Linked DNA regions of Ovis aries. The protein of the gene in region 1 interacts with the protein of each later gene in a pairwise test. Links are inferred from orthologs where the notes say so. Each region holds a gene or a part of one and is shown on either strand. Other genes may lie near its edges.

Region 1 (16,198 bases):
GACTGATGGAAAATCAAACTCAAACTCACGCTCTTACTTCTCCAGGTACGTCTAGGGAACAGGGTGGAAGAGGGCAGCTGAGGCTTTGTCCCCGATTGTTCTGGCCTCAGGACACTGGTCACTGTTTCTGGAACTGCCACACGCTCACCCCAAACCAGTGCACCGAGTCAGATGGTTTAAGGCACATCCCTGCTCCGTCATTTGTTGGCTGTACAATCCCTGAGCCAGGAGCCAAGCTCTCTGGCCCTCACGGTCCTGGTCTGTAGAAATGGACTCACAAGGGTAACCTATTTTGTGAGGCTGATGTGGGGATTAATGAGTAATCCCTTTAAAAGGCAACCAAGCCTACTCATCACAACTACTGAGCCCGTGTGAGACAACTAGAATCCTTGCACTGCGATGAAAAATCATGCATGACACAACAAAAACCCAATGCAGCCAAATAAATAAATAAAAATTTAAAAAAAAGTGGTGTCAGAAGGATGCTCAGAGATAACAAAAGATTACAGAATGAAAAGTTGGTCTTTGTCTCTCCTTGATCCCCAGATACTCTTCCAAGAAGCAGACATGATTTGGTTTAGTTCAGTCACTCAGTCTTGTCCGACTCTTCGAGACCCCATGGACCACAGCACGCCAGGCCTCCCAGTCCATCACCAACTCCCAGAGTTTACCCAAACTCATCTCCATTGAGTTGGTGATGCCATCCAACCATCTCATCCGCTGTCGTCCCCTTCTCTGCCTGCCCTCAATCTTTCCTAGTGTCAGGGTCTTTTCAAATGAGTCAGCTCTTCGCATCAGGTGGCCAAAGTATTGGCATTTCAGCTTCAACAGCAGTCCTTCCAATGAACACTCAGGACTGATCTCCTTTAGGATGGACTTGTTGGATCTCCTTGCAGTCCAGGAGTCTCAGGAGTCTTCTCCAACACCACAGTTCAAAAGCATTAATTCTTCGGCTCTCAGCTTTCTTATAGTCCAACTCTTACATCCATACATGACTATTGGAAAACCATAGCCTTGACGAGACAGACCTTTGTTGGCAAAGTAATGTTTCTTCATTTTAATATGCTGTCTAGATTGGTCATGACTTTCCTTCCAAGGAGTAAGTGTCTTAATTTCAAGGCTGCAATCACCATCTGCAGTGATTTTGGCAGACATGATTACCAGTTTCTAATATCCTCCTGAGCTAGTCCACAGAAATGAATTGTGTGTGACTGAGCGTGAGTGACCATTTAAGAAAAACGCAAATGAGAAAAACCTGACCCCTGGAGGGTAATGATGGCTTTGACTTTGGGTGTGGTGACTTGCTTTGGCCAATCGCAGAGGGGCACAAGTGACAGTCCTCCCAGTTCTGAGCTTAGATCTCAGGGGCTTTGAAGATTCCCTCTTGCATCCCAATGGAGGCATGACACAGCCCCTGTGTGTTCCCTCTTACCACAACATCTCCATATTGTTAAAAGATACACTGAGGCATGTTAACATTTTATTGCGTTTACTTAAAATCCATTCAAATCAAGCAGCACCCAATCTAGCAGACAGAAAGGAGCTTCGAGGAACTAAACAAAACGGAAGACTCTTATAGGAGGAAGGGAGCAGGAACAAGAAAGTTCCTGGAACAACAAAGCAGGCAAAAAAGCAGACTGGTTATGGTGAGGTCACTTTCCTTTAGGGACAGCAGGCACCTATCTGGGCAGATTACCCAACTAGAGCTGATCTGAATGGCTGGTTTAAGATTCAGTCTCCGGGAGAGCCACAACTGTCATTAAGTCTTGATTTTATGACATGACCCAGCATTTTGAGCCTGTTGTCCCATTTTTAACATAATGGTATAAAACAAAGCTTCCCAGTCTCACCCAGCCCAAAACAACCAACTCTCAGCCAGCCCTACATCCGCTTTTAAGCTCCTGCATTTTGGGGTGATGTGTTTCACTGTATTTTTGTGGTAATAGGTTATAGAATTGTCCTCACTTAGGTGGCTTCCCTTGTGATTCAGATGGTAAAGAATATGCCTTCAATCCAGGAGACCCTGGCTTGATCCCTGGGTCAAGAAGCTCCCCTGGAGAAGGGAATAGCTGCCTACTCCAGTGTTCTTGCCTGGAGAATTCCATGGACAGAGGAGCCTGGTGGACTACAGTCCATGGGGTTAAAGTCTATGGGGTTGCATAGAGTCAGACACAGCTGAGTGACTAACACTTTCACTTTAGCAATATCCTTGGTGCTATGATCCAAGGGCTTCCCTAGTGCCTCAGTGGTAGAGAATCCGCTTGCCAATGCAGGAGACCCGGGCTTGATCCCTGGGTCTGGAAGATCCCTTGGAGGAGGAAATGGCAACCCACTCCAGCATTCTTGCCTGGAGAATCCCATGGACAGAGGAGCCTGATGGGCTAAAGTCCATGGGGTCACAAAAGAGTCAGATACGACTTAGCGACTAAACAACAACAAACAACTATGATTTTAACGTATTTTCTCATATGTTGAAATCCTAACCTTCAAAGGTGATAGTATTAATAGGTGGGGCCTTTAGGCTTCCCTGGTGGCTCAGAGGTTAAAGTGTCTGCCTCCAATGCGGGAGACCCGGGTTCCATCCCTGGGTTGGGGAGATCCCCTGGAGAAGGAAATGGCAGCCCACTCCAGTATTCTTGCCTGGAGAATCCTATGGATGGAGGAGCCTGGTAGGCTACAGTCCACGGGGTCGCAAAGAGTCGGACATGACTGAGCAACTTCACTCACTTTGGTATTAGTATGATGTGATTAGATCATGAGGGTGGAGCTCTCATGCATGGGATTAGTGCCTTTATAAGAGAGAACCCATAAAGCGCCCTTGTACCTTCTGCCTCCTGAGAATACTGCAAGAAAATCTGCAATCCCTGGCCCTTTTGCAGCCTCAGCATCCACTCTCTATAAAATAAGGCTTCAGCATAAAGAGGTAAAATGAGGAAGGGAGTGACTAACTCATCCAGTCTGCTTCTGCTACTTTCCAGCTGGGTGATTTTGGGCAAGTAACTCAGACTCTCTGACTTCACTTTCCTGCTGTGTAAAATTTTCAGGACCTACCTCATAGTACTGTTGGAAAACTAAAACTGGTTAATACACATACAGTGATTGAAACCTGAAGTCAGACTGCTAAGGTGATGAAGTGGGCAAGGGGATGTGGGCCTGAAGACCTAGGAAGGGACTCTGGGGCTGATGATATAGTCTCACCTTGCCGAGAAGTCTGGAAATTATCTTCGCCAAACACTGAACCTACTTTCAGCAGCCCTGTGCCAGTTGGATTCCCAGCTCTGCTCTTTCCCAGCTGTGCAACCTTGGACAAGTCAGTTAACCTCTCTGAGCCTTATTGTTGGTAAGGCTCAGAATGGTAAATGAGTTAGTAAATGTCAAGCAGTTAGCCTAGTACTCGACATGTAGGAGTGCTCCGAGAGTTAACTGTTATTCAGTCGCTAAGTTGTGTCCGACTCTTTGTGACCCCCACGGACTGCAGCACGCCAGGCTTCCCTGTCCTTCATTATCTCTTAGTTTGCTCAAACTCACGTCCATCGAGTAGGTGATGCCACCCAACCATCTCATCCTCTACAGCCCCCTTCTCCTCCTACCCTCAGTCTTTCCCAGAAAGTGGAGAGGCCATTTAACCTCCACGCTAACCTCCTTCTAGCATGTCCAGTTTCCCGGAGGAAGCATAGTTCTGAGAGCAAGAGGTGTTCCTTCAGCCCTTGTAACAATTTTGTAAGCATTTGGTAGGAAAGCCGTTTATGCCTAAGCTGGCCGGAGGGGTTTCCTATTGATTGATAAGGCTATTTTTTACTTAGTCAACAAACACTCATTTCTCCTGCGAGCATTGGGGAGCCATGACAGGTTCGGAGCAGGAAAGGTCAGCAGGGAAGTCGGTGGAGGGGCCAAGACTGGGTCAGGAGACCAGCGAGGAGGCTAGGGCAGGAGGGAATGTGAAAGTCCTGAGGTATGGGGTGGGGGAGGGACAAGCCTTGGAGACTTGAGGGGCTCAAGGGGTGGGAGGAAGCTATACGATAAGGGTCACAGTGCTCCCCAAGGCCAACCCCAAGGCCAACTGTTTCTGCGGGACTCAAGATAAAGGAGGTAGGGCTAATGACAGCTAGGTCCTGCTGGAGGGTTTGATTGGCTCAGCTTAGGTCACATGACTGCAAGGTCCTGCTGGAGGGTTTGATTGGCTCAGAACACGTCACATGAGCGAACCATTGCGGCAAAGGATTCTGGGAAACTGAGTTTCTACTATTTGGGCTTCTCCAAAGGAGGTGGTCAAAGGGTGGAGAACTCCCTCAATATAGAAAGGACTTCGGCTGCTGTGTTACCAAGAGGAATGTCAGATGTGCACACAAGGGGTTATTAGGGGCCCCGGGGGCTGGGCTGTGTGTGACGTGGCTGGATCCTGTCTCTCCTTTGCTCATAACCCTCAGGGACTCCCATCGGAGCCCTAGGACCCTACAGGTCTGCTCCTGGTCCCCCTCCAACCTCACATTCTTCCTCCCATTCTCCCCTCCATCTGCTCCAGCCTCCTCCCCGTCTCTCTGACATGCCAAGCCACCCCCACCTCAGGGTCTTTGCACCTGCTGTCCCCCTTCCAGACACCCACATAGCTGGCTCCCTCTGGGCTCTGCCTGGATGTCACCTCCCCAGAGAGGCCTGACCTGATCTCCTCCACTGTGTCCCGTCACTTGCATTTTTACCCTCTGTCTCTTTCCTTCAAAGCCCCATTGTCCCCAACATTAAAATGTATAACAACTTGTTCACCCTCACTAAAATATTAACTCCATAAGGACAGGGGTTTGGGTTATCTTCTGCTGGGTCCCAGTAAGTGCTTAATAAATAATTGTTGACATGATACATGCCGTAACGACTCTAGACCAGTTCCTTTTCATTCTCTGGGCCTCAGTTTCTGTAACTATGAAGGAGTGCTTTGACACACTGACCTTGCTGGGACAGGACAGTGAGGGGAGCGATCACGGACTAGGCCCCAAGGAGAAAAGCTTTCTAAATAGCCCCCCTACCACCAGGAACATTGGGAGAGGCAGAAAGGGCCCCCCTTTCTCTAGATCAGTGCTCCCTGCCTAGGAAGAAGCGGGGGAGACCCAGGAGGAGGGAGGAACTCCAGAGGGAAAGGAACATTCTCTTCTTTGTTTCAATGCTGGGTGCTCCCTGGACTTGCCCGATCCTTGCATCCTGCAGTCTTGGTGCCTTCTAGGCCGAAGACGCCGTTCCCTCTGTGACATCCCATTTCTGCAGGATCTCCTCCTCAGCCCTTGCGGTCCCTGATCGAGCCTGGATCTGAGCGCGTCCCTGACCTGAGCTGCCACCCAGCCCCCTTCTGCCGTGGCTGGGGTTGGCCTCCCCGAGCTCTCGGCTGCCCTTGTAAGGAGGCGAGGCCAAGGGACACCCGAGACGCTGGGTTATAATTAACCCGGACACGTGGCGACCTCACCCCACCAACACCTGCCCCCATGCCCCCCCAGCCCCAGCACCTCGGGTCTCCCAGAGGAGATCGCGAGCAGTGAGCTCTAAAAATAAACTCCCTTCCTGGCAGGCTGTCCCTCTCTGTCCCCTCCACAGCAGAAATCTCCCTGGGTCACTGGGCTGGTCGATTGGAGTGGAAAGGGTGACCACCACCTTCAACCTGGCCTTGAGTAAGAACCGCCCTAGCTCGGCCCAGCCTCAGTTTCCCTCCCCTGCACTTCCGAGGAGGAAAGTGCATCCCAGCACAGGGTTCTGGGGTCAGGCCGTCCCCTGTTCCCACCTTGGCCTTGGTCACACACTGCCTGTAGCTGGGTGACAGCAGGCAAGTCACACAGCCTCTCTGGGCCCTTTCCTCTGCAGGAAAACCAAAGACCTGACCTCCAGGGGCCATTGCAAGGCTTCCCCAGGGACAGAGCTCAGGACCTGCTGTGTGCTGGGGTCAAGGCCACTGGGGGCTCAGGGGAGGCCAGTGGCCTAGCGGAGGGCCAGGGGAGGGTGACTTCTACGTGCCTGGGACATTTCCTGACACTATCCCGTGGCCCCGGCGGGGCTCCAGCTGTCCCCGCCAGCCCGACTCAGCACTTGGTCGGGGGACCAGCTTGGTTGCGGGGGGGATATGGGCCCAGACCCTGGCGCGGCCCATACAAGGCCATAGGGCTGGGCGCGAGGCATGCCTGGGTTCGGGGTGGGCACGATGCCTGGGCAGTGAGGTGAAGAGCTCAGCTGCCCTCCAGCCCGCTCCCAAGGGGCAGCCCCTCCCAGCCAATCACACAGCTCAGGCCCCCCCTATATAAGGCCAGGGCTGCAGGACCTTCCTCTGGGTCAGTGTCGCCTCCGGGATACAGACAGCCCCTTCCAGCACCGCCCAGCCAGGTACTGCCCGGGGTAGGGTCCAGAATGGGGTGTCTTCCATAGGAGCCAGAGGTCGAGCTGTCTCTGGAAGGGGACTTGCATGTTGCCCCCCACATGCCCCCGTGCACAGGCAGGTCAGTGTGTGGCAAGGTGGTCCTTATGTCCGAGGGTCCCCTCCACCTACAGCCCCTGACTCCCGGCCATGCCTGTGATGGCTGGGGCACGCATCCTGGGGGGAGACCCCAGGATGGAAAGGAGCCTTGACAGTGGCCAGCTGTCGCCCCCCTGCAAGGGGCTGCGGGCCAGGCCTTGTTCACGATGGTCTGTCGCCAGAACTGGGTGCCGTAAGCCGTGGGAGGTGTCTGTGTATCACCTGTCAGGGTCTTTGCCTTAGTGACCTTGTGGTCCCATTGCCTTCTGCACAGCGTGACCTTGTGTCTGTCTGGCTTTCTGTGGCTCCTGCATGAGTCCCTGTATGCCAGTGTCCCTGAGCTGGGAGGTGTGCACATGTGGGCCCATTTACCGTGCTACCTGGGGGTGCGTGCGGGTGTGTGCAGGAGGAGCTCTGGGTTACGTCTGTTGGTGTTTCTTGGGCTCCCCGACCTTGCTTCCCTGCCCTCTCCCGGCCTGCCCCCAGGAGGGATGGGGGTGGGGACATGCTCTGAAGGGGGCTTTCTGGGCTGAAAGCCCTTGAGCCCCAAAGCCTGAATGCATGTGCTCCCAGCCACCCTGGACCACCTGTCTCTGGCCTGCTGACGTGGTGCAAGCCGAGCCCCTGGAATGTGAGGGTGGGGTGGCAGCTGGGGGTGGGGGAGAGGAGTCTGCCAGATTCTAAAAATAAATCCCCACCCTGAACATCAACTCCAAAGGCTTTCGTGGGTTCCATCCCTCTTGGCCTGATGCCTCGGCTTTCAGCTCACCCTCGTGCCCATCTCCTTCCCACCGTCCTGCCCACTTCCCATTCCTGGAGCTGGGAATGAACATCTCATCCCTACCACCACCGCTAAAGGGTCCTCCCTCTTCCTGGGTCTTGTGAATAAAATAACAACAGTACAGCAACCACCCTTCTAGGTGTGTGCGTGCTAGTTGCTTCAGACTCTTTGTGGCGCTCTGGACTGTTAGCAGACCAGGCTCTTCTGTCCAAGGGATTCTCCAGGCAAGAGTACTGGAAGGGGTTGCCATTTCCTCCGCCAGGAGATCTTCCTGATCCAAGGACTGAACTCTCATCTCTTACACCTCCTGCATTGGCAGGCAGGTTCTTTACAAGGCCCCAGCTCCATGCCAGGGCCTGTGCTCAACTGGCTTTGTGCTGGATTCAAAGAATCCTCCTGGAAACCCCAGGGGAAAAGTTCAGTTCACAGAAGACAGAGGCTCAGAAAGACTGAGCAGTTGACCTAGGGTCACACAGCCCAGAGATGGCATGGGTGAGATTTGAACCCAGCTCTGTCGACCTCAGAGGCTGAGCTGTTACTAACTGTGCCCTGCAGGACAGTTGTCAGCACACAGAGGTGGGGGCAGGCACCCTGCCCCTCCTCCCTCGACTGAGCACCCAGGAATCTTCATAGAGAGAACGGCGCTTCTCTGCTCGCACACTCATTCCCAGCAACAGCCTCCACCCTCACCAGCTCCTTGTAATTCAAAACAACAATAATAACAATAGCTAGCAAAATAATTAGTGTGTGTCGGGCACTATTTTAAGTGCTTTACGTAATGAACTCATCACATCCTTCCAGCACCTCCATGAGACGAGTGCTATTCTACCCGCATTTTACAGGTGATTACTTTGAGGCACAGAGAGGTTAAGTAACTTGCCCAAGGTCACACAGCAGAGCTGGGATTCAAAGCCAGGCTGCCTGATTCTAGAACCTATACTCTTATCTATCAGTTATCATATCTTATCACAGGCTTGAGGGGTTCTCTCCTCCATTTTTCCAGCTGGAGAAAGTGAGGCTGTAGCAATGCTATTAGCCTAGGGTCACCAGCAGGATAAGGCAGAGCTAAGATCCCAACCCCAGACTGATGATACATCCTGTTGAGATGCAGGGGCTCAGAGAAGGGATCCCTCTGGGTCCAAGTCACACAGCCCAAGACTCAGGACTGGCTCTCAGGCCTGCCTGACCCAGAGCCTGGCTCTGCTCTCTTGCTGGTCTCCGTGGATGTGACCTAACTCCCCCCTCCACCCCTCCCCACTAGGCCCCCCACACCACCGCCACCATGCCGTTCGGTAACACCCACAACAAGCACAAGCTGAACTTCAAGGCTGAGGAGGAATACCCAGACCTCAGCAAGCACAACAACCACATGGCCAAGGCGCTGACCCTCGAGATTTACAAGAAGCTGCGGGACAAGGAGACGCCATCTGGCTTCACTCTGGATGATGTCATCCAGACAGGTGTGGACAACCCAGGTAAACCTCCTGGGGGAGCGTCCCAGGGACTGTGAGGCCGGTGTGTGTGTGGGTGGCCTGGAGGCTGCCTGCCAGGCCTCAGTCCCACCTCCCTGAGCCTCAGTTTTCCCATCTGTAAAGTGGGGACCATACTCATGGGGCTGCTGTGAGAAACAGATGAGTTGAATGTGTGAGGGCCTGGGACAGGGTCTGGCAGGTGGCAAACCACTTGCTAAATATGTGCAACTATCACGTGAGACTCCCCTGAGGGAAGCTCAGTTTCCTCAGGCCTCAGTTTCCTCACCTGAAAAATGGGCACCCAGGTTGGGAAAACATAGGCATGTGGAGTGGCTCCTGGCACCGAGTGGGCACTCTGACTCTGACAGGGGGTTCCTTCTCCAGGAACACCCCACCAGGGCGGGTGGAACTGGGCAGGAGACCAGCTTCTGGCCTCAGCCTCCAACTCATGACTGAGGGAAAAGGCCCTTTCTCTTCAAGCCTCTGTTTCCCTACTTGAGAAATGAGGTGTTTTGTTTTGTTTTGTTTTTTGGCCACAAGGCATGCAGGATCTTAGTTCTCCAACCAGGGATTGAACCCTGGCCCTCTGCATTGGGAGTGTTGAGTCTTAACCACTGGACCATCAGGGAAGCCCAAGAGTCTTTCAAGCCTCTTCTTATTGGTGGGGGTTAAGAGTATCTAAGGCTCTGAACTTTTTTAGGGGACGATCCCTTGATGTGGGGATTCACGCGTGGTAATATTTTTAGTAACTCGCCCCCCAGACTCTCCTTTCTCCTTTGCCCTGCACTCAACATTCCTCTCACCGCCCACCCCCAGATACCGCCTCGATCTCCCCCAGTCTCCTCTCCCCATTCCTACCCACCCTCAGCCTCCTCAGTTCTGGCCCACGGTGCTCAGTGAAATCCCTTGCACACACGCACACACGCACACACACACCCACGTGTGCACACACAGTCTACACTGGACCCAGGAGCCCAGGTCTTCCCCGAGGGTGACAAGCACCTCTGACCTCCCTTTGACCCCCCAGGTCACCCCTTCATCATGACCGTGGGCTGTGTGGCTGGTGATGAGGAGTCCTATACGGTTTTCAAGGACCTCTTTGACCCCATCATCCAGGACCGGCACGGGGGCTTCAAACCCACCGACAAGCACAAGACTGATCTCAACCATGAGAACCTCAAGGTCGGCTGCCCCAGGGGAAGGGCGGGGCGGGGTGGGGGGAGGAGACACCCAGAGAGACAGGGAGACAGACATGGAGAGAAACACAGAGGGGGATGGGAAGAAAGACGGACAGGCAGACACAGAAGATGGCCAAGGTTGGGGGAGAGAGAGAGAGGAAAGCAGGTGGAAAACATACAGGGAGTCAAGGGAGAAACAGACACAGAGATGGAGAGGGAGATAAAGATGGGGGGAAGAGAGAAAAGAGAGACAGAGCCGGGGAGGGAGGGGGAGAGAGGCCAGTGGGGAGGAAGAGCCAAAGGAAGCAGCTGAGAGCCCAAGAGAGCTGGGAGGGCCTGTGGGGGAGATTTGATTTTGGTGGGCAGGGGGCAGGGCACACAGGATGGTCCACCAAGCCCTGACTCCCCGCTGTTCCCTAGGGTGGAGACGATCTGGACCCCCACTACGTGCTCAGCAGCCGTGTCCGCACGGGCCGCAGCATCAAGGGCTATGCACTGCCCCCTCACTGCTCCCGCGGCGAGCGCCGGGCCGTGGAGAAACTCTCCGTGGAAGGTGAGAGCCCCCACCCCAGGTCTGGACCCCCTTGTGCCCCCATTTGCCAAAACACTGCAAGAACTTGATAATCACAGGTGCTTGGTGAGTGACAGCTGGCAGTATTACCCCTGGGGGAGGTCTAAGGGATGCTGTCAAGATTTGACACCCAACTGCGCCAGGGTCCTGACCTTCATCCATCTATTCATCCATCCACCTATCCACCAAGCAAACATTTACGGTTGTTCTGGCCCTGTGTGGGGAGCTGGGGTCCCCATGGTGAATAAGATGGACCAAGGTCACTGCTCTCGCAGAGCTGTCAGCCTGGTGGGGAGATAAGAGGAAACACTGGAACCAACAAAAGAATACATCCTCCCCAAATGCCCTGAAGCCAAGAAACAAGGGTTTTGGCACAGAATGACTGTGGGTAGCTATGCTGGAAAGGAGTTGAGACATGATTGACAAGAAGGAGCCAACCTTGGGAAGAAATCTAGGCAGGTGAACAGCAAGTGCAAAGGTCCTGGGGTGGGATGGTATGTTGGAGGAATAGCAAGGAGACCAGTGTTGCTGGAGCTGAGTGGGTGATGGGGAGAGGGGAGGAAGTGAGGCCAGAGGGGTGTTGGGATAGCCAGGTTGTCCAGAGCTTTGTGGGCTGCTGGGAGGACTCTGGCTTTGACCCTGTGGGAAGAGGACACTGTGGGAGAGTGGTGAGTAGAGAAGGGACATGCTCAGACTTACATGGATCCCCCTGGTGGGGAACAGTCGGTGGGCAGCGGTAGGAGAGGCTGAGAAGGGCAACTGCAGGGGTCCACGCGGGGCTGGGGAGTGAGGGGAGCAGTGGGATGGGGAGAAAGAATGGGTGTGTTTGGAGGTAGAAGCATTAGGGCTGGCAGGCAGTGTCATTCTGCTAAATATTTAACAATTGGCTCTAAAAAAAAAAAAAGCAGCAGCAGCCTTGATTTGCTGCCAGCAACTGCCAATTTCTCTGGTGTAAATTCTCCTACAGAGGCCAATTTTAAGCCAACCACGAGACATCATACAGGGATGGGCAATGGGGGGAGATGTGCAGCAGCATGTCATTATGTAGAATTTCCACCATGAAGATACAACAGGTGACTTCAAGAACATAGAAAACAGTAAGTGTAGTAAAGTAATTGGCAAGTGATAGTTCTGAGTACTCACTACCTTCATTTCAAACACTGGATTGGCCAAAAAGTTCATTCTGAAAGATGTTATAGGAAAACTCAATTTTTTTGGCTGACCCAATATAGTTTATTTATTTGTTTTTGTAATTTATTTTTAACAATATAGTATGTAGTATATGATATAGAACATATTATATAGGATATTATACAAATATGTACAACATATTTAAAAATATGTGTATTATAGAAATACATTATACACATATTTGTCATGTCTTATGACGATATGAATATATACAAATGCATATATGTATTATATATTTATTATATATATAATATACATGTGTGTGTGTATGCTCAACTCCTCAGTCATGCCTGACTCTGCAAACCCATGGTGTAGCCTTCCAGGCTTCTCTGTCCATGAGATTTTACCAGCAAGAATACTGGAGTGGGTTGCCATTTCCTTCTCCAACACTTAATACATACTTTGTATTATGAATACCTATGAATATATACAAATACTATATATACTATAATATTGTTCACTGATGGCTCCCAGATGCCTGAGACTGACTCTGTCCCTACCAGCCAGGAGGAGTGAGCAGCAGCACACTGCCGCCTGCAGATAGTCTGACTGGACGTGAGAACTGGTGGCAGGCAAGGGAGAGTCCATGCTTTTGGTCTTGAGCACACAGTGTGGGTGCTCCCCGGCCTGGGCAGACGGCGGAGGAGCATGTTTTTTTTTGGGGGTGGTTAGACACCTTTAGAACCTCTGCAGGGTCAAGGCCTAGGCCCCCGAGGGACAGCAGTGTGGGGTCCCCAGGGCCTGTGCACCCCCCTTGTAGGGCAGGCTGTTGACCCCTCCTTCCTGTGGCCCCTCACCAGCCCTCAACAGCCTGACGGGCGAGTTCAAGGGGAAATACTACCCTCTGAAGAGCATGACGGAGCAGGAGCAGCAGCAGCTCATCGATGACCACTTCCTGTTCGACAAGCCCGTGTCCCCGCTGCTGCTGGCTTCAGGAATGGCCCGAGACTGGCCTGATGCCCGCGGTATCTGGTGAGGCCCCTTGCCCCATGCCCCCCTTCTGCCCCGCCTCCTCTAGTCGTCCCACAACCCTCCACCAGAGTCAAGACCACTACAGCAATTCTCCAGGGTCATCTTGCCCTCCGCTCCTGCCTTCCCTGTGGTCTGCATGTCACATTTTAAAAAGCTTGAAATTCAGATTTGAACCAGACTCCTTAGGTTCAAATCCCAGGGCTGCCATTTACTAGCTGTGTGATCTTGGGCACGTAATTTAATGTTTCTCTGCCCCAAATCTCCATCTATAAAATGGGATCGTGATAATCCATAGCTCTTGGGGTTCTTATGAGGATTAATGAACTAATTTATGCAAAGTGTTGAGAAAAGTGTCTGGTATATAGTAAGTATCCATACTGGCCATTGGCATGATATTTATTGCTAATTATTGTTGTTAGCTGGGCTTTCTAGTAATTTTTTAATCCCTGATTCTGATGAAAGTGAAAGTTCCTCATTCGTGTCCACTCTTTGTGACCCTATGGACTGGAATTCTCCAGGCCAGACTACTAGAGTGGGTAGCTTTTCCCTTCTCCAGGGGATCTTCCCAACCCAGGGACAGAACCCCAGGTCTCCCACATTGTAGGCGGATTCTTTACCAGCTGAGCCACAAGGGAAGCCCAGGAATACTGGAGTGGGTAGCCTATCCCTTCTCCAGAGGATCCTCCCGACCCAGGAATCTAACCTGGGTCTCTTGCATTGCAGGCGTATTCTTTACCAACTGACCTATCAGGGAAAATGCCCCCGCCTTCATTCTGATAGTCAAAGGTTTTAAAAGGTTTTGAGAACCTCGGTTTCAAACAATTTGGAGAGTATAGGTTGTAAAATTTTAAGTGTTTTCAGGTTCCACTAATGTCAGATTTTGTGATTCAATGGTTTCAAACATTTCCAGATCCTAAAGTTTTCCAGTCTAAGACTCCTTCTGCGATGCCACAATGTCATGGAAGGTTTATCAACTCTGATTCTCGGTTTCCGTTTTTCAGCGATTCTGATATTCTAAGATTCTATAATATTGTGCAAAGAATTAAGACCCTGAAAGCCACTGATCCCACGATTCAAGATTTCACGGGTCCTGTGACATTTAAAGGTGTAAGCTCCTGAGACTGAGATGCTCAGGCCTCGGGCCCTTTAGGCCCGCTGCCCCCTAGCGGTGGCCGTGTGTTTGCAAGAGGGAGGGGAACCGGGTTCCCGCGGAGCTGGTTCCCTGACCTTTTGCTGCGCCCGATGCTAGGCACAATGACAACAAGAGCTTCCTGGTGTGGGTGAACGAGGAGGACCACCTCCGAGTCATCTCCATGGAGAAGGGGGGCAACATGAAGGAGGTTTTCCGCCGCTTCTGCGTGGGGCTGCAGAAGGTGGGTGCCCGCCCTCGTGTGACTCCAAGTGACCGCCCCCCCAGCCGCTTTCCCGGGCCCCGCCCCTCGGAACCCGGCTCCTCCCCGCACCGAAGCCACTCCCCTCAGCGGTGCTCCTCCCTCGCTTTCCAAAGCCCCGCCCTTTGGAAAACCGGCCCCACCCCTATCCTCAAGCCCCGCGGACAAGAACCGGCCTTCAAGGCATCCTCAAGCCCAGCCCCGTCAGAATCCAGCCATCACTTGTGCGGTCGGGCCCCTGCCCCAAGAATCTCGTGTCTCCAGGTTTTCCAGACCCGCCCTCTCGGAGTCCTACCACCACTGACATTCTCACCCCCTGTCCCTCGGAGCCCTGCCCCGGTTGTGGGTGCATTTGGGGGCACCCACAGGGCTGATCCCGGGTCCTCTCCCCCTACCTCAGATTGAGGAGATATTCAAGAAGGCCGGCCACCCGTTCATGTGGAACGAGCACCTGGGCTACGTGCTCACCTGCCCATCTAACCTGGGCACCGGGCTGCGGGGAGGCGTGCATGTCAAGTTGGCGCACTTGAGCAAGCATCCCAAGTTCGAGGAGATCCTCACTCGCCTGCGCCTGCAGAAGCGAGGCACAGGTACGGCCCAAGTTCCCTCCTGCGGCTTCCAGCGCTGGCCCTTAGCGATGGCTGAAGGGAAGCGGGGGCATCCCCACGGGTTCTGGGGGGCGGCAAGGGCTGCTCCTCTGTGAGTTTCAGTCCTTCCTCTGAAAATAGGCTTCAGCACGCCTTATCTCAGAGAAGTCCATATACCATCATGGTTATATGGTTAATATACACTGTGTATGTCCCTGGGCGCCTAGGGGCCTCACTTTCCCATCTGTAAAGGGGAAGATGGTCAGGATTCGACCCCAGGCAGCCCGGCTCCTGAGCTCAACTCCGTTACCCACAGTGTTGGATGTTTGAGGGGTGAGATACCTAAAGCCAGCCCGAGAATAGACAGACGCTCAGGAAACTGCATGAATTTAACACAGTAGGCATTCACCCAGGACGTCCGCCTGCGCGGTTGGCACGGCGGCCCGCGTTCCAGGCCCCGCTCAAGCATTTCTGCCGGCTCCTTAGCCCCTGCCTCCTACTCCCGCAGGTGGTGTGGACACGGCTGCCGTGGGCTCAGTGTTCGACGTGTCCAACGCCGACCGGCTGGGCTCGTCCGAGGTAGAACAGGTGCAGCTGGTGGTGGATGGTGTGAAGCTCATGGTGGAGATGGAGAAGAAGCTGGAGAAGGGCCAGTCCATCGACGACATGATCCCCGCCCAGAAGTAGGCGCACAGCCAGCCCGCCGCCGACTGCTGGAGCCCCACCCTAAGGGAGGACCCAGCCCACCGGAGGCCCGCCCCTTCCTCCTGGAGCCCAGCCTATAAACGTTTGGTCCACCTGGGGCTCTATCTATCCTTCTAGTTCCAGTTCCAACCAGAGTTCCAACCAATGGGCTCCAGTCTCTGGGTTCTGGCCAATGAAAAACCTCCCTTACGGTCTCCTTTTTTTTTTTTTCTCAAAGCTCCGCCCACCATCAGGAGCTCTGGCTAACGGAGCTCACCTTGAGCTGTTGCTTTTTCTCCACTCTAAGCAACAAATAAACGCAATGGTGGCCTTAGCGTTCGGTTTGATTGTTATTAGTACTGAAGGAGAAGGAGAAAAAACTTCGGCAGTTGGCTACTGTGTGACCTCAAAGCGGCTTGTCGTCTCTAGGCACGTCTTAGGGCTACACGTTTTATCCCATCTCTAAAGTGAAAGCGTTAGTCGCTCAGTCGTGTCTGACTCTTTGCGACCCCATGAACTGTAGCCCTCCTGGCTCTTCTGTCGGTGGAATTCTCCAGGCAAGAGTACTGGAGTGGGTAGCTGTTCCCTTCTCATCTTTTCCCATCTTTAAAATGAGGCAAGTTCAGGGTACAGCATCTAATGAAAACATTACAAGGCTCTATGGGGAATCTGCGGTCCCGAGAGCTCTCAGTCACCTCTGCTCCTGATCACTCATGCTCAGATCTCAAACACAGGACCCATTCTAGGGAGAAACGGACGTCAAACAAAATATCTGAATTTGCCCTCCGGGCCTCTGGTTTGAGACCTTGCATGCATCTCATCACTACCTACTTCATGATGCTTTTTCCTAACCCTCTTCCTGTGCAATCTGACTTCAGATCTGAAGG
Region 2 (16,511 bases), on another chromosome or scaffold:
GTTTTTTCATTTTGTTTATGGTTTCCTTTGCTATGCAAAAGCTTATAAAATGGCAACCCACTCCAGTGTTCTTGCCTGGAGAATCCCAGGGACGGCAGAGCCTGGTGGGCTGCCATCTATGGAATCGCACACAGAGTCGGACACAACTGAAGCGATTTAGCAGCAGCAGCAGCAGCAGCAGCAGGTCTCATTTGCTTCTTTTTGTTACAAATGTATTTTTTGATTAATGTTCTCCCCACAAACTATTTTTGTAATGATTTTCTAAGTTTCAAACTGTTTGAAACTATCCTTTAAAATGGTGGTTTCATATTTCTTAGCTATTTCCATGTTGTTGGATATTTATTTATTTCTAATGTCTTGCTATTATAAATAATATGATTGTGAACTTCATTTTGATAAATCTTAAAACAGTTGAAGTATTTCTTAGATTTTCAGAAGTGGTATTTCCCAAGAAAACTATTTAAAATAATAATATAAAATACTTTAAAATACCTACATAAAGAATCATTTTAAGGGAAAATTATTTTCATAACCAAACAAATACCACATATTATCTGTTCAAATGCCATCTGTCTCTACAGAGATATCTGATATATTCATCTGTATACCATGTGCCTATCATCTGTCTATCCATCCATCATTTATCTGACTGTATCCATCATCTGCCCTGACACATTATTTTAAAAAGTAAGCTTGCATGTGTCACTTGAAGATGCAAACCTCAACTCTCTGAAAAGCCCGTAAATTATTTAAAAGGTTGGGTACATCATGCAACATCTCTAAGTTTTTGTTCATATTTTATTAAGGAACCGTCTCTCCCAAAGTAATTCTTTTCCCTGATATTTCTAATATTGCCATGTCAAAAAAACCTGAGGTTTAAAGATAATTCTTTTTTCAATAACACTGCTCATCGCTGAGACGATTGTATGCGCTTCCCACATAGAGAACAGCTGACCCTTCAGAGACAGTGCCTGAAGTTGTCATGGTGAAGGCTGAATCATTGTCAGGGAAGGGCACTCCGTGCACTGGAGGACCTCTCATTTACTCCAATCCCAAATTCTTGCCAGGGGCTACTTGCATGGACATTTGCATGTGAAATATCAGTACATCATCTTTCTTTAGCCGAGTCTGTACCAGGACGAAGGCAGGGGTCAGACAGGGTCACGGTCACAATAGCAGCTTCATCTTTTAACATGAGTGTAACCTGTAGAAAATGATATACTACATTTTAGTTTTCATTAATTAATTTCCTCTCCTGCCATCGTTATGTCTTGAAAATCTTTCAACTTGCAAAAAACTTGCAAGAATAATACAATGAATATTTGTCCATCTATCACTTCACTTTGTCAGTTGATAAGATTTGCCACATTTGCTTATGCCTTTTTGTACGTATATATGAACATATGTATGTATATGTGTATATATATATATACATATTTGTATGAATGTGTGTATACACACATATATAAGTAGGCCCATGAATATTGAATACCTATACACATTTTTTTTTAAATGAACCCTTTGTGAGTAAACTGTGAGTTTTATAATTCTTCACCAGGGCTGATTAGGAGGAGGTGAGTGAGGCAAAAAATTTAAGGGGGCACCGAAAAATGTTATCAGGAGAAAAATCGTGCAGTATTAACAAAATTCAAATGTTAAGGGAAAAACGTCCCCAATGACCAAAATATCAAAACATTTTAAGAAAGACAGGCTGTGGTTTGTTTTACAAACCTGCATAACAGTGTAATGAAAGCAATGTTCCCAATCAGCCCAAGGTCCTGGGACATGGGGCTGCTGGGTTTATGAGGAATGACAGTGGCTTGTGAACAGAATGGGCAGTGCTGACTTTACATATACTACTTTTTCTTTAAAAAAAAAAATTATTAGGCTGCCCCAGGTTTTAGTTGTGGCATGTGGGATCTTCATTCCCTGACCAGAAATCAAACTTGGGCTCCCTACATTGGGAGGACAGAGTCTTAACTACTGGACCACCAAGGAAGTCCCAAGTGTTTCTATTTTGTGCAAAATATGTACATAGGGACACACGTTTCTCCCCTTGGATCACGCTTCCACAAGGCTCTGCACTGAGTACTTCAAGTAAGCATGTCCTAAGAACACAGCTTCTTTGACATAAGCGTGGGCGGTGCAGTGATCACACGCAGGAAGCTTGACATTGATGCACTTGGAGTATCTGATATACATCTATATTTAAATTTCTGTAGTTGTAGCACTGATGTCTTTTATGCCTTATCCTCCCTAATCAGGATCCAATCAAGGATCATCACATTTACTGATCAAGTCTCTTCATTCTCCTGTCGTTTAGAAAGCCTCCCCCACCACTTCTGGGTTTTATGCCACCCCACTGGCATTTTTGAAGAGTTCAACCTCATTGTTATGAAGACTCTCAGTTTTGATTTGCCCGATTGTTTGCTCAAGAATACTGCATTATGCCAGATTTTCAAAAAAACACATCCTTGTTTGAATCTTACTGCACTGATCTATGAAGTAAGATTGAGTGACAGCTTTCTTTTTCTTTTTTTTTTTTTTAGTTTTTTATTTTTTAAATTTTAAAATCTTTAATTCTTACATGCATTCCCAAACATGAACCCCCCTCCCACCTCCCTCCCCATAACATCTTTCTGGGTCATCCCCATGCACCAGCCCCAAGCATGCTGCATCCTGCGTCAGACATAGACTGGCGATTCAATTCACATGATAGTATACATGTTAGAATGTCATTCTCCCAAATCATCCCACCCTCTCCCTCTCCCTCTGAGTCCAAAAGTCCGTTATACACATCTGTGTCTCTTTCCCTGTCTTGCATACAGGGTCGTCATTGCCATCTTCCTAAATTCCATATATATGTGTTAGTATACTGTATTGGTGTTTTTCTTTCTGGCTTACTTCACTCTGTATAATCGGCTCCAGTTTCATCCATCTCATCAGAACTGATTCAAATGAATTCTTTTTCATGGCTGAGTAATACTCCATTGTGTATATGTACCACAGCTTTCTTATCCATTCATCTGCTGATGGACATCTAGGTTGTTTCCATGTCCTGGCTATTATAAACAGTGCTGCGATGAACATTGGGGTACATGTGTCTCTTTCAATTCTGGTTTCCTCGGTGTGTATGCCCAGCAGTGGGATTGCTGGGTCATAAGGTAGTTCTATTTGCAATTTTTTAAGGAATCTCCATACTGTTCTCCATAGTGGCTGTACTAGTTTGCATTCCCACCAACAGTGTAGGAGGGTTCCCTTGAGTGACAGCTTTCTAAAGTAACAAAAGCAGCCAGCTCAGTGTGCAGAGCCAATTAGGCGGGCACAACTAAGACAGGACTTTTTTCAGGAAAAGCAGATCACTCTGAATGACCAGAGGAGAGATGCACCTTTTAGGCTTTAAAGGTTTTGTACTTGAAAACTTGCCGGCTGGAATGACAAGAGGTTTCAGCTCTGGGGCCGACTTTGACTGATTGAAGGTGACTTCCAAGTCTCCCCAAGGTGTCAGGAGGAGTCTTGGAATCCCATGAGTGATGTCAGCCACAGATCTATAGGTGAGGGGTGGGGCAGAGTCAGTGGCCAATATTAAGTCTGCGTTTGATAAAGAATGATTATGGCCTTACTGCTGATACAGGCCATAATTCTTTTTTCTTACCTAAGCTGGGCTGAGTTTCCTGAACATGCAGACAGACACAGAGACCAACTCAAATCTGGTAGATTGTTTTGCTCTTGCAGCTTCTTGTAAGCCAAGCTGTTTCTCTTTAATGAAAGCTCATATACATGTAGTTCAACTTTATCCACATGTGGATCCTTAAAAATACATCAACTTCCCTCGTAATATTTTTCTAATTCCTGACTAGAACTGTTGTTAAATAGTTTAAAAACAAAACAACAAACAGTTCCCATCTTCCAGTGTCCACAGGTGTTGATCAGCATTATGAGAAGATAAAATGGTGATTAATTCCTTCCCAGATGCTAAGGCAACAACCTTCAAATCTTCTTTATTGTCGTTTTGGACAATCAAGTTAACTTTGAACACAGAGAAACCTTATCTTCTTGGAATTTAATGAAAAGTAAATAAAGAAGCTTTACTATGAAGATTTTGCTCAGAGAATCGGATGCTTTCCAGCTCTCCTGCTGCACTGTTTAACTCCTTGACAGCCAGTCTACATTGGGAGTAAATTTCTCCCTTTGCCAAATACAAGGTTCATTTTTCTTCAGATCTTTCCTGATACAATAGTGATCAATGTATATATGCTTATGGCATTCTCAGTTAATTCTACAAATAGAGCTGGAGGGCAATTTCAGTTCAGTTTGGTTCAGTAGTTCAATTGTGTCCAACTCTTTGCGACCCCATAAACAGCAGCACGCCAGGCTTCCCTGTCCATCACCAACTCCCGGAGTTCACTCAGACTCATGTCCATTGAGTCCGTGATGCCATCCAGCCATCTCATCCTCTGTCATCCCCTTCTCCTGCCCTCAAATCTTTCCTAGCGTCAGGGGCTTATCCAATGAGTCAGCTCTTTGCATCAGGTGGCCTAAGTATTGGAGTTTCAGCTTCAACATCAGTCCTTCCAATGAACATCCAGGACTGATCTCCTTTAGGATGGACTGATTGGATCTCCTTGCGGTCCAAGGGACTCTCAAGAGTCTTCTCCAACACCACAGTTCAAAAGTACCAATTCTTCGGTGCTCAGCTTTCTTTATAGTCCAACTCTCACATCCATACATGACCACTGGAAAAACCATAGCCTTGACTAGACTTACCGTTGTTGATGAAGTAATGTCTCTGCTTTCTAATATGCTGTCTAGGTTGGTCACAATTTTCCTTCTAAGGAGTAAGTGTCTTTTAATTTCATGGCTGCAATCACCATCTGCAGTGATTTTGGAGCCCCTCCCCCCCACAAAAAAAAGTCAGCCACTGTTTCCCCATCTGCTTGCCATGAAGTGATGGGACCGGATGCTATGATCTTAGTTTTCTGAATGTTGAGCTTTAAGCCAACTTTTTCACTCTCCTCTTTCACTTTCATCAAGAAGCTCTTTGGTTCTTCTTCACTTTCTGCCATAGGGTGGTGTCATCCACATATCTGAGGTTATTGATAATATTTCTCCCAGCAATCTTGATTCCAGCTTGTGCTTCATCCAGCCCAGCATTTTGCATGAGGTACTCTGCATATAAGTTAAATAAGCAGGGTGACAATATACAGCCTTGACGTACTCCTTTTCCTATTTGGAACCACTCTGTAGTTCCATGTCCAGTTCTAACTGTTGCTTCCTGACTTGCAAACAGGTTTCTCAAGAGTCAGGTCAGGTGGTCTGGTATTCCCATCTCTTTGAGAATTGTCCAGTTTGTTATGAGCCACACAGTCAAAGGCTTTGGCATAGTCAATAAAGCAAAAATAGATGTTTTTTCTGGAATTCTCTTGCTTTTTCCATGATCCAGCAGATGTTGGCAATTTGATCTCTGGTTCCTCTGCCTTTTCTAAAACCAGCTTGAACATTTGGAAGTTCACTGTTCACGTATTGCTGAAGCCTGGCTTGGAGAATTTTGAGCATTACTTTACTAGCATGTGAGATGAGTGCAATTGTGCAGTTAGTTTGAACATTCTTTGGCATTGCCTTTCTTTGGGATTGGAATGAAAACTGACCTTTTCCAGTCCTGTGGCCACTGCTGAGTTTTCCAAATTTGCTGACATATTGAGTGCAGCACTTTCTCAGCATCATCTTTCAGGATTTGAAATAGCTCCATTGGAATTCCATCACCTCCACTAGGTTTGTTCGTAGTGATGCTTTCTAAGGCCCACTTGACTTCATTTTCCAGGATGTCTGGATCTAGGTGAGTGGCAATTTGGCAGTATTTAAATTTTAAGTGAACTGATTAATAATTGTAGATTCATATGCATTTTCCAGAAATAATACAGAAAGGGCTCCTATAGCTTGGCCCAGTTTCCCCCAATGATAACTTTGTGCAAAACTGTAGTACAATATCACAACCAGGAAGTTAACATTGAGACCATCCATTGATCTCATTCGGGATTCTCGTTTGACTTGTACCCACTCCTGTGTGTTTTAGTTCTGTAGAAAAGATCACATGTGTATGAGCACACTCTTAGGAATCTCGCCTCTGGAAATAATTGCATATTGTCACTGAGCCAAATTTGGGTCCACTCAGTGTGGTAAAGTCTATTGACACTGCGTTGTGACGAAGGAACATATAGCATTTATTACAGAATACCAAGCAAGGAGAATGGGCAGCTCATGCTCAAATGACCCAAACTCTCCAATGGCCTTCAGGGGAGGGGTTATAAAGGCAGTGTGAGTGAGGGAGCTGCAGGTTGTGTGATGAGCTTGCGCACAGTTCTTGGATTGGTTGGCATCATGATGACGTTTCAAGCATCATCAACCTTTGGGTTTTGACCAGTCTGAGGTCTACGTGCTTGTGGTCATCAGTTTTCATCTGGGTGGTCTGCTTCCTGTAAAAACAGCTTATGCATGTGTGTCAGCCCTTTGTATCTTTTAGGGAACTGAGAGTTCAGTTAGTTTGCTATGTGGCAGATTTATAGTCTAAATTGTTACCATTTCCCCAGCCTAACAGCTACTCTTTGTTTCTAGTCTTCACCTTTGCTACTTGCTAATTCATGTTGGGGAGGCCTGGGAAAGTAAAGCAAAAAGCCTTTTACTTAAAAACAGGGACACAGAGGCTTGTGTTGGGCTCCAGTTCCCCCTTTTTCTTTAATAGTCCTCTGTCTTGAGGGGCACAGGTTCAGGACAAGAAAGGGAATATACTTTCAAATAGAGAGGTTAATCATAAACTTGGGGAACAGAGTTTAAGGGGGACTCAGTTTCAATATGTGCATGAAGCCATATGTAGAAATATATGAAGTGCAGTATTTTTGCAGTAGTAAAAGAAAATGGTAACACTCTGCCTCCATCATTAGGGGAATAATGAAATATTTTTGGTGTGAAATACTTAAGGAATGCTCTGCTGTAGTGAATAAAGAAAAGGACAGAGCCATTGAGTTATTCTGCTGAAATGAAAAGATCCCTAAGACAAAATAAGTATAAAAAGTGTTTGTGTTAATATAATTACAATCATGTGGAAAAGGTACAGCAATAAATGTGTATCCCCATGTATGCAGGAAAATGCATTTTAAAATATGCAGGACATTCCTCACACTGTAAACAGTGGCTCCCACATCGGTCAACTGAGGCTTGGTGAATCTGAAACAGTAAGGCTGTATCTTTGACATTAAAAATAATTGGTGATCACTGCACAAGCAGACTATGCTTGAGACTAACCCAGAGCCTTCCCGAATGGGGAAGGAAAGTCCCTTTCTACTTGGAGAGGGAATGGGAATCCAGGGGTGGCCATCAGCCTGAGCCAGCACCCAAGGGTATGGGGAAGCTGGGTGTATTTGAAAGGACACGGACAAAACCCCAAATGTTTTGTAAAGGCAAACGGGGAAAACTTCACACAGTAAAACTTTTTATAACTAATCATTGAAAGATAGCAGCTCACCTCCAGGCCCCCTTGCTGCCCAGCAATCCATTTTTCCCCCAATAGCAACCCTGAATTATTTATTTAGAAGTTAAAATATAATGTGTGGAGGAGGGTGAGCAGGACACTTCGTGCAACCCGTGCAGTCAGAAGGTAGAAACTAGAGGTTCTTTCCAAACGTGCATTTTTGTAACATATAGACACATTTTCCCATAAACTCCCAGAAAAATTGAAACCACATGTGCAGATGGTCAGGGCGTGCTGTGTAAGTTGCTGTGCAAGCAATTCAGCAGGGCTGCAGCAAAACCAGCTCTCTCAGCTCCTGGGTTCTGGGGCTTGTCTCAACAGCAAGAAACCCCCAAACAACAAGTGGATCCAGCAGGCAAACAATGTTGCAGCAGGCTAGCGGTCTCCTCCCCCCACCCTGTTCCCTGGGCTCTCCCAAAGTTACAGACTGTGAGTTTCCTTCCTGATAAACCTCAAGGCTTCCTCACTGATTGGTCTCAGTTTTGGAAAGGACGTGACATCAGCAACTTTGCAGACTTTAGGCTGGGGGGCTGTTGTGGGCTTTGGGCAGTCTCCAGCCTGTGAGGTAAAACGTGCGTGTGTGCGTGTGTGTGTGTGTGTCCCCGTGTGCATGTGCCTGTTTGACCACAGGTAGTACTCAGATTACCCTGCCTGTCCTGTTCTCTGCCATCTGACCAGGAGGGTGCCGCTCAGCCACTCACAGCCCTGGAATTTCCCAGGAGCCGGGGGTGCATGGAATTTGGACTTTCCTGAACAGCTGAAGTGGAGTGTGGAGCTTGACCAGCCCAGGAGAGCACCATGGATGGTGAACCACCAGGCAGAAACGGCAGCAAGCCCCCGGACATGAGGCTCTTTTTCAACCCATTGATGGGGGGTGAGTTTAGGGGCTGTGTTGTCAGCCTGCTGGGGAGGTCTGTTAATGTGCTTAGGAGAGAAGAGAGACGAGGGTGGGGTGATTTCAGTGGCTTCATCTGAAATGTGGCCACGGGGTAGTTACTGGACAGATGTCCATGACTTGCTGGTATCTGCCCTTCACATGGTTGTTCCAGAATGTGTACACCTCTCTCTGCAGAGTGCTATGGACCATGTCAAGCCACTGATCACAGTTTATTCCCCAGGAGAAATGTCAGCTGTAAAGTTATTTTTTGTGGGTCAAATATATCATTGATATTCCATTGGAGGTTTGAAAGTCACTTCTAAATAGGAAGGAATATCTTCACTGCTAAAACATTTATTAAAAGGTCTTAGGTATGTGGCATTTGGGTGGGGCTGGGTTTATAAATGATGTTCAGAAATTGAGCCCTGATTGATTCACTTTAAAAGGAGCCTTTTTTTTTTTTTAACCTTTGGAGCAGTGTTTTAGAGGTTGATTCTCCCCTGTCTCATGGTGTCTTTGTTAATGCATAGAGTCCTGTACCTCTGGGAAACTGTCATTTCCTGTGAGCACTCAGCAGGTACCTGCTGACTGAAAGGATTCTGGAAAATGGGTCTAGACATTAGAGGAGGCTGATTATATGATTATATTCAGCACCCTGGGAGGCTGCCCAGAACACTTGCTGGTCAAAGGGACAAAAAGCAGGGACCCTAACATCAGCTAGGACTGGCTACTCTCCTACTGCTTAGGTGCTGAAGGGGAAAACACACACACAAAGAAATACAAAATTGTTCCCTCTGGCTCATGGAGCAGACAGGACTGTTCAGGTTAGTTGTTTGTGTATCCACTTTGGCCTCATAAAAGGAGCAGAGTCCTCAACAGCAAGTAGAATTTGGATCTCCCAAGGCAGACCTGGATTAATCAGAGATACTGAGCGTGAACTTGGAGCAGTAGAAAGCAGAGTAGCACCATAAATAACTTTTAAAATGGGGTTGATAAATATATTTTTAAAGCAGCAAACCAATCAACATGGGGAAGAATCAGTAATGTGGTTGACTTCTGCATGATGATTTTACAGCTGAGTTTATTTTCATTTCTACCTGAGAGAGGGGCACTAGCCACTTTTCACTGTTCAGGGTTTCTAAAGGTTCTAATCCAGGAATTCCCTGGCAGTTCAGTGGTTAGGACTCCATGCTTCCACTGCAGGGGGCATAGGTTCGATCCCTGGTTGGGGAACTAAGATCCTGCGTGCTGTGCCACTGTGGCCAAAAATATAAATAAATAAAGGTCCTAATCCAACCCTGGTTGGGGCTGGCTGGGTGGGTGTAGGTGGGCAGGCGCTGTCACAGCTGGACTGCAGTGTCTTAAGGAGTCTAATGAGAACACTGGAGAGATGAAATCTCAAAATGTAGCTTCAGAAGCTAGGTGGATGAGTTTAGCCTTCATGAGGCAGGGAACTGGGAGCCATTGATGGTTCTGGAGTGGAAGCTTAGCCATAATAAAGACTGTAAGTAAGTTAATGTGGTAGCCATAGTCAGGATAGATTGTGGAGAATTTATGAGAAATTATTGTACTAAACTCGTATACATCAGTATCACCTGGATGGATTGTTAAAATGCTGATGGCTGGGCTCCATCACCTCAGATACTAGGTCTGGGGTGGGGCCTGGAAATCTGTATAACAAGCTCCCGGGTAATGCTGATGGTGCTGTTTGGGGACAATACCTTGAGAACCACTGCGTGAAGCTGATATCTGGATCAAGCTTCAGAAATGACAGAGAAAGGGAAAATATGGCTTGTATTTTCAGAGGAAAGAGAAATCAAGCTCTGTTGCTTGATTAGCTCAGCTGGTAAAGAATCCACCTGCCATGCAGAGACCCCAGTTCGATTCCTGGGAAGAATCCCCTGGAGAAGGGCTAGGCTACCCACTGTAATATTCTTGGGCTTTCCTAGTGGCTCACATGGTAAAGAATCCGCCTGCAAAGCAGGAGACCTGGGTTCGATTCCCAGATTGGGAAGATCCTGTGGAGGACGGCATGGCAACCTGCTCCAGTATTCTGGCCTGGAGAATCCCATGGTCAGAGGAGCCTGGAGGGCTACAGTTCATGAGCTTGCAAAGGATAGGACACGACAGAGCGACTAAGCAGAGCACAAAGGAGAGAAGGCAGCCAGAAGTGCAACGTTTTCAAAGCCGAGGGTAATGTCAGCTCAGAGGGCTGGATGAGAGAAAAGTCGTGAAGGGGAGCTGGCCTGGGGATCAGAGTGAGATAGGGAGGAGAAGGACTTGTGTTTGAACGTGAATGTGCCAATGGCTGTGCCCTGGGCTCAGCATGAAGGTGCGGGACAGAGGCTGGGCAATGAATTCAGGTTGGGAATCAGGCCTCAGGCTGTTCTGCAGAGGGGCTGGGCTGAAATCCTGGAGAAGGAGACATTGTCTGATGGCTCAGTCCAAGGGTGGAGCCCTGGGACAGACTTCCATTTGAGGACGGAGAACCAGTAAATTGGATAGAGAGGCAGGAAGAGACTCTGCCGCTGCTACTGCTAAGTCGCTTCAGTCGTGTCCGACTCTGTGCGATCCTATAGACGGCGGCCCAGCAGGCTCCCCAGTTCCTGGGATTCTCCAGGCAAGAACACTGGAGTGGGTTGCCATTTCCTTCTCCAGTGCATGAAAGTGAAAAGGGAAAGTGAAGTCGCTCAGTTGTTTCCGACTAGTAGCGACCCCATGGACTGCAGCCTACCAGGCTCCTCTGTCCATGGGATTTTCCAGGCAAGAGTACTGGAGTGGGGTGCCATTGCCTTCTCCGGAAGAGACTCAGATGTTGTCATTTCACAGGGACTAAAGGAAGAGAAGTTTCCCAAGAGGCAGTAGTCACAAGGGTGGGCGCCAGGACCCCTCTGCTTGCCCAATTCCTCCTTCTCTACATCTGACCCACAGACTACTGCCCCTTCGAAGCCACTGCCCTCACAAAGCCCTCCCAGACTTTCTCCCAGCCCTTACCCAAGTGGAGGCTCGCTCTCCCTACTGTGCATCAGCCCTGCCCCTTGGGCAGAATTTCACTGATAGCTGGATTGCATTTATTTATGCTTTGAAAGCCTTGACCTTGGTGAAGTGTGGAATGTGAAACACTCAGAATGTTGTTTCCAGGCCTTGATGAGAAACTCAACTCAGGTGAAGCAAATCCCCTGGCACTGGACCAGGGCAAGAGGTCAGTGGGGTGTGGTTGCCCTTGGGGAGCTTTGCTGCTCCCACCTGCACTGGCAGGCTTTTCTTGGCTGCTGCCTCTGGAGGAAGGGAGGAAGGGATACACAGATGGCAACAAAATATTTATAGAGATGGAATTCTTGACCCTTCTGCCCCAGGAGTGGGAATAGAATGTCCTTCTTTTCCCCTGAAAATACCTTGTTTTTGATCACATTGTGTCCCTCCCCAAAACATAAGCTGAAGTCCTAACCCCCCGGACCTCAGGTTGCGACCTGGTTAGAAACAGAGTCATCGCAGGTGTAATCAGTTAAGGCGCGGTCACAGTGGAGGAGGAAGGCCCTCCCCATGACTGGTCCCTGGAAGAAGAGCAGAGGAGGCAGAGAGGGATGAAGCCTTGTGGCAGCAGAGCCAGAGGTTGTAAAGATGCATCTGATGAGCCAAGAAAGCAAAGACGGACACCCCACACCAGAGGCTAGAAGAGGCGAGGAAGGACTTCTTCTCTTAGGGTGGATTTTTAGCTGTTGGGCCACCTCAACAGGGGCCATTTTTCTGGGGGAAACTTGCCTGATCCGACAGGATGGGTTGAGGGGGTGAGGTCTCTATGGAAGAGGCCCCTGGAGAGAGAGACGCAGACAGGAGAGGCAGGGTGATGGAACTGGGAGAAAGATTTGCAGTAGACAGGACTGATGTGCCCGAGAGTTGCCTTGTTGGGCCTTTGTCTCTTTGTGACTGTGAGCCTCTGTTTCTTTGTCCTGTTTTGATTTGTCCTGCCATCTAACCGAGGTCCACAGTCACTGTCAACACAACACCCAGATCCTCCCCAGTGTTGGTACTCACCACTGAACCTACTGAAGGCATGTGCTCCCACTGTCTCTGAGCAACGCAGCCCTTCTTCCCCTCCTTGCCCTTGCAAAATGTTTCCCAGGAGGAACAGTGGATACTCTTCCCAGCATTCACTGCAGGCTTTCAGAGCTTCATGAATAATAGCTCTTTTCAGAATGTACTAATTAGTACATTTCCAATCTCTTCTGAATAATGGAAATTTTAAAAATCATTCCAGAAATGGCAATAAAGATGAAATGGCAGCTTTGCTAATGTGCTGCAGGGTTTGATGGAGACTCAATTTAAAAGAAAGGTAAGTTGAATAGCACTAATTGGAGGACTTGTGGCATTGTTTCATGAGGAGAGCTCCTTGCCTCATGTCAACCACGAGCTACACTAGTGAATCTGTGGCATTGCCAGTGACCCCATTTGGCATCTATTTCTTGGCAGTAAAACCAACAGTTCTTAGCTGATAAAGGACTGGGGAAAAATTCTTAATATATACCGAGCACTTAAATGATGTATTGTATAGATATAATAGCCCTTGAGTTTCCAGGGGTCAGTGGAAAAGGGAATGTGACTTTGAGTTTTCCTTCCATCCATAGCCACCTCCTGTGAGCAGCATCCGTGTTCTGGCAGGAATAGTCCCCTTTCCTGCTTATTCTACTCTCTCCCAGTTGTCAGCAGGAAGGCGGGCAAAGCTGCTTTGGGGTTTAATTGCTCATGTGTTAAGCTTGTAGCTCATTGCCTGCTTGTGATGTGGGCTCTGGAAACAGCTCCTGGATATCTCATCAGTGTTTTTAAGAGCTAAAGAGAGTGTTAGACCAATCCATGTTTCAAATTAGAGCATTTGCTAAATGAACTATGCATAAAGTCCATGCTCTCAATGCTAGAAAAATGTCAACCTTTCACAATTTTAACTCTGTAGATAATCAAGTGTTGAGAGACCAGCTGAGGCTCAAGTCTTTGTATATGTTTGAGATGACCTATACAAGAACCTAAAGTTTGCTTCTGGCCTGGAGTACTGGCATGCTCTGGTAGATTCACCTAATCCTAGTCTGAAAGGACTTTAACTTAGGAAGGGAATCTCATGTACTGCTGTTGGTAGTATAGCGTGGTGCAGCTGCTTTGGAAAGTAGTCTGGCAGTTTCTCAAAAGGCTAAACACTGGGTTACCACATTATATAGCAATTCCATTCCTGGGTGTCTATCCAAGAGAATTGAAAACATATATCCACTCAAAAATTAGTACATGAAGGTTTAGAGCAGAATTATTAGTAACAGCCAAGAAGTGGAAGCAACACAAATGTCTATGAGCTTTTTGGTCTATCTATCTATACAAATATTATTTGGCCATAAAAAAGGATGAAGTGCTGATACATACTCCAATGTGCATGGACCTTGAAACATTCACAAAGGACCACAGGTTGCATGATTCCATTTGTGTGAAAAGTCCAAAAAAACCCCCACATCCATAGAGAAAGAAAGTAGATCAATGGTTGCGAGGGGTTGGGGGAAGTGACTGCTGCTGGGCAAGGGGTTTCTTTTTGGGATATTGGAAATGTTCTAAAATTATGATGATAGATGTACAACTCTGAAATCTACTGAAAACCACTGAATTGTGTATTTGAAAGGGGTATATGTGAGTGATAAATCATCAAAGCTGGACAATACCCTGTGCTTCTTGAAGACACAGATAGTCTCCACTTTGTAAATATTGGGTTGGCCAGAAAGTTCGTTTGTGTTTTTTTTGTGATGTATGGAAAAACCAGAACAAATTTTATGGCCAACCCAATAATACTATGTGCTAATGCATGGGTACAAAACCTCAAGTAGTCTTTTTTTTTAATGTACTTTTTTCTTTTTCTTTTTTTATGTACTTCTTCAAGTACATAATTCTTTATTTACCCTAAGTAAAAGGAGTCATGCTTCCGTGATGAATGCAAACAAGTAAAGCCCATTTTGGTCTACTCCTGATAAGATAATTGCATCACTTTCATGAAATCTAAACAGAGTTACAGTTTAGGACCCAAATTACCTGTCTGGCTGTCAACTCTGATTATCTGAGTTAATTTTAAGAAAGGTTGAGGAGTGTGGCAGTGATATTTCTTAGCAGCTGAGAACTGGGAAGGAAAAAAATTGGCGTAATCCTCAGAAACATGGTGATCCAACTGATTTTTGAGATCTTTCTCAGCTTGTGGCTCTTCTCACTCAACAGTGTGTATGGATGGTATTTTGCCTTTGAACCAACAGGGTAGAATGAGTTATCCTTTTAATTCTAATTTGGGGATCAGTCTTTCGGTATCTGCCATCTGCACTGTAGACGCCAAGCCCTGGAAGCAGTAGTGTTTCTCCTGAGAGCATTAGGACCCTCAGAGAATGGTGCAAGGACTCTAATTTTCTACCGAGCATGAGTTTTTGGAAGTTAGGGAAAGTCATTTCCCTGACCTTGGGCACAATGATGAGCCCAGAAGGGAAGCCTTGGATGCATGGTGTGGAAGCAGGTTCATTCAGCTTGCTCTTCTCTATTAAGAGCCTTGTCAATCCATCTGGAAGAATGGTAATGTGCTCACTGGGACAGATTTTCCAGGACACTGATAGCTCCAGGTGGCAGGCCTACGTCAGCCAACATGTTAAGTCCAAAGTGTTCTAGCCTCCTCCTCGATGGGCTGGCGTTGGCCAGGCTTTAGTAACTGCCTTGCTTCTCCAGGTCTTCGGACTTTTAGGAGATACAGCCCATTCACAAAGTGTGACTGATGTCAGACCACCCTACCTTGCTGGTGTGCCGTGTGTTTGCTCAATCAGGCAGAGCCTGAGCTGTGGCAAGCGCAGACTAGCCGCCTCATGCTCTGACTTCCTGCCTTTGTTCTAGAAGCCAGATGCAGCTGGAGATGAGAAAAATTCAGGTCTATGCCAAATTCAGGGCACATCCAGTCAACGAGAAAGAGGGGGAAGCATTTAGTGTGTTGAGGTGCATTTTACAGGCTTCTTTCCTAAGATAGTGTATTCTTTGCGTATAGTTAGAGAATACATTTGCTAATTTTTTTTAAGATTTTTTTTTTTCCCTAATGTGGACCATTTTTAAAGTCTTTATTGAATTTGTTTACAGTATTGCTTCTGTTTTTCATGTTTTGGTGTTTTGGCCACAAGACATGGAGGATGTTATCTCCTCGACCAGGGACCGAACCTGTACCCCATGCATGGAAAAGCGAAGTTGTAACCACTGGACCACCAGGGAGGTCCCTGCTATTTTAAATAGCAGTGACTGTGGGGTATAATCAATACCCTCTAATTAGTGTTAGGGTGGGATAATAATAGTAGCTAGTAGAAGTTGAGCCATAGGTTAAGTATATCGCTGTCCTGACTTTACAGAGAAGGGAACTGAAGCTAGGTTCTGCTCCACAGACCTAGGTTCAGCTCAGAAGAAGTCAAGTGGGTCTGAATTCACAGATTTCTCCTAATCACGCTGGCACACTGCCTTTGTGGGGAAATCACATCCCTCTTGCAAGGTCAGACTGAAGTCTGATTTGTGCTTGATATTGGGACAGGAGGTAATCTACAAATAGATAGGGTTTTGTTTAGATTTGATTCCAAGCCTAATGGCGTATGTAATGACATGATTACTGCTATTAGTATATGGCACTGTTTGCTGAGGTGCCAGAGTTTGTATTTCATGCAGGAAACTAGGCTGGCAAACACAGTTTAATGCACTAATGCTGCTAATTAGTGAAGCTCTCATTTAACTAAATGGATCATTTGCCTTTGAAACCAGTGTATAAATCGAAGTAGAGTAATCTGTCATCCCAGTCCACCTCTTTGTCTTCAGTTTGAAAGCAGACTATAGTTATTTCCTTAGCTAGCTAGACATTTCAAATAAGCTGTATTCAAGAAACATCCATAGAGGGGAGAAATGCTGAAGTTCTGATGAAAGGGGTTGGTTGCTTGACTCCAATGTTTCCCTCCAGTAAGACCAGTTAGGCTCTTATTGATGGGCAAGGATGAGCCTCTGAGTCTAAAGTGCGATAGCAGGATGTAACTAACCTCTTCCTCCCTTTCCATACAGATTCTGTATCTGATTGGTCTCCTGTGC

The links.
Region 2: the proteins of CKM (region 1) and ASB9 interact in binary tests that used the Homo sapiens proteins (3 or more experiments, as listed by UniProt). The two-hybrid records come from large-scale screens. The link is inferred for Ovis aries from reciprocal best matches to the Homo sapiens genes CKM and ASB9.

The regions. Positions count from the first base shown.
Region 1 is NC_056067.1:52,741,404-52,757,601, reverse strand, and holds CKM (creatine kinase M-type), read left to right. Parts: upstream 1-6,300; 5' UTR 6,301-6,354; exon of another isoform or gene 6,355-6,467; intron 6,468-8,526; 5' UTR 8,527-8,547; coding exon 8,548-8,740; intron 8,741-9,764; coding exon 9,765-9,919; intron 9,920-10,335; coding exon 10,336-10,468; intron 10,469-12,477; coding exon 12,478-12,649; intron 12,650-13,898; coding exon 13,899-14,022; intron 14,023-14,440; coding exon 14,441-14,630; intron 14,631-15,135; coding exon 15,136-15,314; 3' UTR 15,315-15,645; downstream 15,646-16,198. UniProt on the Homo sapiens protein: Reversibly catalyzes the transfer of phosphate between ATP and various phosphogens (e.g. creatine phosphate).
Region 2 is NC_056080.1:13,453,002-13,469,512, reverse strand, and holds the start of ASB9 (ankyrin repeat and SOCS box protein 9), read left to right. Parts: upstream 1-8,069; 5' UTR 8,070-8,323; coding exon 8,324-8,399; intron 8,400-16,484; coding exon 16,485-16,511. UniProt on the Homo sapiens protein: Substrate-recognition component of a cullin-5-RING E3 ubiquitin-protein ligase complex (ECS complex, also named CRL5 complex), which mediates the ubiquitination and subsequent proteasomal degradation of target proteins.